2 linked regions of the Drosophila melanogaster genome follow. The protein of the gene in region 1 interacts with the protein of each later gene in a pairwise test. Each region holds a gene or a part of one and is shown in the gene's direction. Other genes may lie near its edges.

Region 1 (2,710 bases):
CTCTGGGTTCTGTGACTCCGCGACGCCGCCAGTGGCCAAAGTTCGAGACCAGAAAGGCATAGATCGCGCCCAGCAAGGTGGCAATCCCCAGTAGAAGCGATCCAAACATGACGACGTTGTAAGCGAAACTGAGTGGATGAAATTGAATCGGATACGCGCATCTGGTGGCACAAGGAGATCGGCGGAGATTGGGGATCTCCTCCGTAGCGTGCTTCCATTGCGCCCCTATGTATATACTATGCATACATTTATTATTCCCCATTTTGCAATTGATCTTATGTGGGTTTGCGTGTCGCTGGAACAGAACTTAGTTGGTGTCATTATCGAATTAACCAGCGAACTGCTCTTATGTCAGAATAACTAAGGAGCTGCATTTCGTAGTCGATCAAGGAACGTGTTCGAAAGTAAAGGTGCACAGGTCAAGCCAGTTGGGGGGATCAGCGATAGCGAAAGTAACTGCCAACAATCTGACAACCCTGAACGTAGCAAAGTCAAGTCGCAAGACAATCGGAACACTTAATTCAACAAAAGAGGCCATTGTCGAATTTTTGTTTGAGCTGCTTTTTATTCGCATATTTGGGTGCAAATATTTATTCAGCAACGGTTCGTGCAAGAAGAAAATTCCAAGCAAACCATTTCTCTTTTTCGAAAAGATCGGCGAAAAACCACTTGCAATTTCAAATCGCCACAAATTGCCATCTACTATGTCATTTTGCGTTGTGACGAATGCAATTAGATGAGCTTGCTTGTCTGTCAGCTTAGTGATCTAATCAATCAACTGCGAAATCGAGTCTCTCTCTCTATTTGGGGATTTTGTGCAGTAGTCGCTGGCTTCATCAATCATTCAAGATTGTACCATGATTGATGGTATTATGTAAACGAATTGCTCTAATTCCGGAAACCAGAGAGAAAAATAAACAAGCATTGCTCTAAGATTATATATTATATTATATTATATTATATTATATTATATTATATTATATTATATTATATATTCTTTGGTAGAGAATATTAAAATATGATTACTGTTGCTTATAATTGATTTTCAAATATAGGTAGCTAGTCTTTAAGTGTAGTTAAGATCCCACTAGTCAATGGCATTGACATTGTTTCGCCAGACGAATCTCGAGACCAGACCGTATCCAATGGACTCCAGCCCAATCCAAAGTGAAGAGATCTTGGCCAGCTTTTGAGGGGATCATTCCGCTGGTCTGCAAGATATGCGAAAATTCCTAATGATATATTCTTATATGTTATACTAATATTTAAGATAATATATTAAATAATATACTAAAAAATGAAACAGAACTATCAAACAAAAGATATTTTTAAACTGCCTCACAGCTCCAACAATTCTTTAATTACGAACAGAAGTTTTACCCTCGATTTTGGCAAATAGTGCCAATTATGTGACTCGTGTGCAAACAAACTGGGATTCTGGGCGTGTTCTATGCAAATAGCGAAAATAATGAAAATAATGCCATGGATCGGAGCACCGGAGATCCAAGACAGATGACAAATGTGTGGAAGGGGGGGGGGGGGGGGGTGGGATTGGTGTTGGTTGCTCCGTATTTACCCTGGCCAAATATACGTTTAATCTTCGGGCGGTTGGATGCTCGTTAGATGCCATGGATAGGGGTGCTATAAAAGCCTGGTTAGAATAGAGATAAAGGCACAGTTCCAAGTACCACTGCCCCAAAGCCGCAAGATGCGATTCCTCTGCGTACTGATCCTCGCCAGCCTCCTGGCAGTGGCTAGTTCAACTTCATCTACTTCACCTGCTTCATCTACTTCACCTGCTTCATCTACTTCACCTACTTCGTCCACTTCTCCAACTTCGTCCACTTCTCCAACTTCGTCCACTTCTCCAACTTCGTCGTCGTCGAGTTCCTCATCATCCACGGCGACCACCACTACAACGACAGTTGCTCCCACGACCACCACCACCACGGAGGCGTCCAGTTCATCATCGTCGAGCGATAAGAAAGTTCGGCACACGAGGCACTACGTCAACCGGCGTCACAGGAAGGACAAGAAGACCACCAAGAGCAAGAAAAAGAACAGCAAGAAAAACAAGAAAACCAAGAAAGTCCGACGCACCCGTCGCAGTGGTTAAATATTTTCTTCCTTTCGAAATCGAAATCAACCCACCGATCGCAGAAAAAACTATGATTGCATCACATCGTAATATATCTTTTTTTTTAATCAAATAAAGTAATTGAAAAATATTGAAAAATACATTTGCTGTTTCGAAATGAAGTTATTTTAAGTGAATATATAATAATATTATATATATAAAATCCTTGCAGAGAAAAACGATAATTGCTGAGTTTTTTTTTTTTAGTTTATGCATTTATTATATTATATGGTGGAATCAATTCTAGAATCGACCTCTCAAATGAATTCTATGACACTTTCGGTTATACAAATGAATTAAAAAAGATAGATTTTTTTTTTTTTGTGGTTTTTGTCTTATAGGCTTTTTTTTGTTTTGTTTGATTTTCGATTAACTAAGGGGAAAACATGCGACGACATGAAATGAACATCGTAATAAGATGCCCACATAAACGTAGATATATGTATATACTCATATATTTAGGTATGGGTTTTAAGTAAATGTTCTGCCAATTTGCGTATCTATATGTCTATATATATATATATATAAATATATATATATATATGTATGTGTATATATGCGAAATCATATCCG
Region 2 (4,479 bases), on another chromosome or scaffold:
CTAAATAAAGTCGAATACAACAGCAAAATCCATACCATACCATTTTCAACTAGTAGAATTTTTCCAAAGTGTAGAAATGTAAACCTTTATATAAATATATAGATTTGTAATTGAACTCTCTAGTTGAGGTAAAAACACTTCTATACAATATAAATAAACTCCCAAGTCGGTCGTTTCTTGAAGCTCGACATTTGGAATGAACTGGATAAAGTAGTAAAACTCATGTAGAAACACAGCAGTAAGCTAAAACCAAACTAAAAGTATAAAATATAGATAAACTGTATATAGGGAATACCAGGCAGGCAAACCACTTCAACTGAAAGCTAATCTGCAGGCTTGGGTAGGTGGAGGGTCCGACTATAAAGATGTCTTCACCCAAAAAGTTTGTTTCAAAATGTGCTATTAAACTACAGATTTCGATCATTTAAGTCTTACTTTGGTTTCCTTAGATTTCGATCGTCCACTTCACTTGGTGCAGTTTAAGAGCCCACTATTGACCAAAGCTTGTACTCCATTGTATTTTGAATGCCTACCCCCAAACTAAGCCACACAGAACGGCAGAAACGAGAACATAAAGTAATGAACAGAAAACTTGAATTCAATTATGAATGATATTAAATGAGAAAAACATAAAAACTTATTAGCCACATATGTACGTACGAAGGATGAACATAACTAATGAACAAACTTGTAACTAAATACTTCTACATATTGAATAAAAAGAATGATATTAAAAGGTAAAATTTTTGACAAATAAGAATCAGGTTGGTACATATATGGTGTTACATACAAAAACTTATTTATTTCAATTAGGGCAGTGACAGTTTTTTTATTTGACCAATATGTCTGCGTAGTTCCCCACCCTATCCGCCATCTGTATTTGCTCCTGTTCGCTGGCGAATGAATGATGCACTGCCTCCAAGGTCAAATCGATGCATTGTTCACGGGTTAGACCGAAAGTTTCCGCAGCAATCAGAAACTCCTTTGTCAAAGTGGTATCAAAAACGCCACTGTCGTCCGTGCAGATAACCTTGGGTGCATCTGCCTCCATGATTCTTTTCAAGTGGTGCTCCTCCAAGCTGGGCACTGTTCCCGACTTAACATTACTAGTGAGGCAGCATTCAATGGCAATATTTCGTTGTTTAAGCTGCCCAATGTCCTCGGGAGTAAGAAAAGTTCCATGTCCACAGCGGGACATTCCAAAGTGCAGCATTTCCTTTACCTCCGATGGATTCTCGATCTCGGCGCAGTGTATAGCTAACTTCAGACCCTTATCCCGGGCCTGTGCAAGAATAGGAGCAAAGTCGGAAAACCGCCCCTTCCCTGGATTACCGCTAAGATCGATGCCTAAGATAAGATTTGGATGAGCCCGTGCCAACTCCACAGCCAGGGAAACTGTTTCCTCAGCCACGTCCACTGGTTCCGCTCGATTGATGGAGGGCAGTAGCTTGACTGTTATCTCTGGATACGTTTCGCTAGCTGCCTTAATTGCATCGATCACGATCTGCAGGTAGTCCCTGCGTGAATAGTTCTCGTTTGCCTTAGGAGTGGTCCTCATTTCCACATACTGGACGTTGTCCTCAGCGAAATCTCGAATCGCCAACTCCGTGGCAAATCGCAGACCCTCCCGGGTGGAGGTCAACTCGTGCACAAATGCAAACTTCTCGAAGCATGCATCCATATCCTTTTCAAATCGGCTGAAGTGCGCGCACAACTTCAGGAAATCTTTACAAGAGGTTCCATACAATCGCTCGCCAAGATCACATAGGCTTTTGATGCCCAAGGAACCGTTGAGGTGAGCATGGAGCTCTACTTTGGGCAGACCTTTAAGAAACTGCTCCATTTGTAGTTTAACAATAATAACAATACATTATGAGAAACAGTGATGCTAAATGTGGAATCGATTTTCAAATATTCGTAATTATTCGGAAAAAACGCTAAAAACGCTAATCTTCCATCACTGTAAACATGTTATCGATTACAGTACGGAGAAAAATCAAAAACACAGCCAACCCTGGCAGGCAAAACCAAGAAGAAGCACAATTTGTAAATATAGATTTTCTCTGCGAGTTTTCTTCGAATTTTCTTCGCCATGTCGGATGCCCACTTGGAAGCACCGCCTTCGGTGCGACTAACCAACGATGACTTCCGCAAGCTGCTAGCGACGCCCCGAGCTCCTCCTCCTGGCTCCGGGACGAGCAGCACCTCCGCTGGAGGATCTCTGGCCACTGCTACCTTTGCCACGCCCTCCACCGCCCCCGGCACGACAGGATTGAGTGGCGAAAAGAAGAAGGGTCAGAGCAGCAGCGAGCGGAATGATCTGCGTCGCAAGAAAAAGAACTTCTATGCGGCGCTCAAGAAGCAGGAGGATGTGAAGCTGCAAGAGCTGTCCGAGAAGTACAGGGACCGAGCACGAGAACGACGCGATGGTGCCAATCCAGATTACGTGAACGTGAGCACGCCGGGACACGGAAGCAGCACCAATGCGTATCGAGCTGTAGCGCCAGATATGAAATCCGGAATCGATGCCCAGGAGCGAAGAAGACGTATCATTCAGGAGTCCAAGTTCTTGGGTGGAGACATCCAGCATACGCATTTGGTGAAGGGTCTTGATTACGCCCTTCTGCAAAAAGTGCGCTCCGAGCTGCACTCGAAGGAAGCGGAAGAGGAGGAGATTGCCGCCGCTGTGGCAAGGGAAAAGCTCGCCGAAGCAGCTGCCGCCGCTGAGCAATTGGAAGCGGAACGCCGCGAGTCGGAGGATATTAATGCAATCAATGGTGCACTAGCGCGCAATATTTACAATCTAGTGCAGGCAAGGCGTTCGAAAGAAGTTCCCCGCAATGAGCTATTTGCTCCAGGACGGATGGCCTATGTGATCGACCTGGATGACGAGCTAGGGGAGTCGGATATTCCAACCACACTGAAGCGCTCCAAGTTCGAGGTGCCGGTGTCACAAGAGGATGTTGCCACGCTGACCACCAATGACATTGTGATCAACAAGCTGTCCCAAATCCTGAGCTATCTACGTGCCGGTGGTCGCAACAAGAAGAACAAAAAGCGCGACAAGGACAAACCGCTGTTCTACGAAAAGGAGGTGGAAAATCTTCGTGGGTCGTCTAGCAATGGTGGCTCCAGTCGGCACGCCACCTCGTCCTCATCGAACATGGGAGGGAAATCAGCTCCCTTGGGCGATAATATCTACGACGATATAGGGGACTACCAACCTTCTGCCACGCGACCTGAGCGAAACCGCCAGGAGCAAGGCAAGTCCGCCCCGTCCTACTTTGGAGACGGCCCGCCGGAGGCATCAGAGGAGCCGATAATATCCAGTATTCCCCCGCCACCCAAGATATCGAAGGCCATGGCCGCACGGTTCGCTGAACCCGAGGGATACGCAGAATGCTATCCCGGGCTGGAGGAGATGAACGACGCCATCGACGACTCGGACGATGAGGTGGATTACACCAAGATGGATTTGGGCAATAAAAAGGGGCCCATTGGACGCTGGGACTTTGACACGCAGGAGGAGTACTCCGACTACATGAGCACGAAGGAGGCGCTGCCCAAGGCAGCCTTCCAGTACGGGGTCAAGATGCAGGACGGTCGCAAGACGCGCAAGAACAAGACGGAGAAGAACGAGAAGGCCGAGCTCGATAGGGAGTGGCAAAAGATTCAGGTATGTATATCCCAAAGGATTCGTCGATGATCAATACAAAATATTTATTTTTCTTTGCCATTTAGACAATCATTCAAAAGCGAAAACTGCCAAAGGACGGTGGAGGCGGCGGTGCTGGTGGCGATGAACCCGATTACAAATCCGCAAAGTACTAGAAATTCTTGAAACATTATTCTATATTTGTAATGTAATTCTGTAAAACATTAAATATAAGTATGCTCGTACTTGTATTAATCTTACATGCTCTCAAATATATTTTAGCAACGTTATCACTAATTTAACTGCTACTGGAGTTGGGAACTAAGGGGAGGGTCCTTAGGGAGCTTGGCAGGTTGACTTATCGACTATGTGCGGCAATAGCGCTGGTACAGTGGGATTCAGAACTGTAAGACCGCTGGCGCAACGCGAGTTTAATTTCCATCGAGTAAGGCCAAATGTTGGGGAACTTTAAAACGGGTTCGACAATCAAATAAAATCGATCTCTTTATTTTGCATTGCATTGCTCTTACAGTCCCGAAACGCACTGCTTGTGATTCTCAGTTGGTGTGCGAGCTGCATCTACTTAAGCTGGATGGGTGCACCTAGTGCTGCTCTCTAACATGTAACGTTTCCTGCATGCTTAGAAATATGACACTGATTAAATGTAATTACCTTCGCGGGAATGCTATTCTTAATCACTACGCTAAGTCCGAGTGTGAGGATGGTGGGGCGACTTGTATAAAATGGGTATCGGTAAAGTTTGTATCTTTCAGCTTCGGAAAACCGAAGCTCAGCCCTTTACACTGCCAAGAGTGGTTTGAGGA

What was found. Proteins that work in one complex are often made in the same cells at the same time.
Region 2: the proteins of CG15741 (region 1) and beag interact in a two-hybrid assay, tested with the Drosophila melanogaster proteins (one large-scale study listed by BioGRID).

The regions. Positions count from the first base shown.
Region 1 is NC_004354.4:11,837,009-11,839,718, reverse strand, and holds CG15741 (uncharacterized protein), read left to right. Parts: upstream 1-1,692; 5' UTR 1,693-1,708; coding exon 1,709-2,116; 3' UTR 2,117-2,176; downstream 2,177-2,710. Other genes in the region: Cyp28c1 (cytochrome P450 28c1), read right to left, coding at 1-109.
Region 2 is NT_033777.3:9,062,603-9,067,081, reverse strand, and holds beag (beag), read left to right. Parts: upstream 1-2,003; 5' UTR 2,004-2,092; coding exon 2,093-3,676; intron 3,677-3,741; coding exon 3,742-3,831; 3' UTR 3,832-3,950; downstream 3,951-4,479. Other genes in the region: Ada (adenosine deaminase), read right to left, coding at 830-1,843.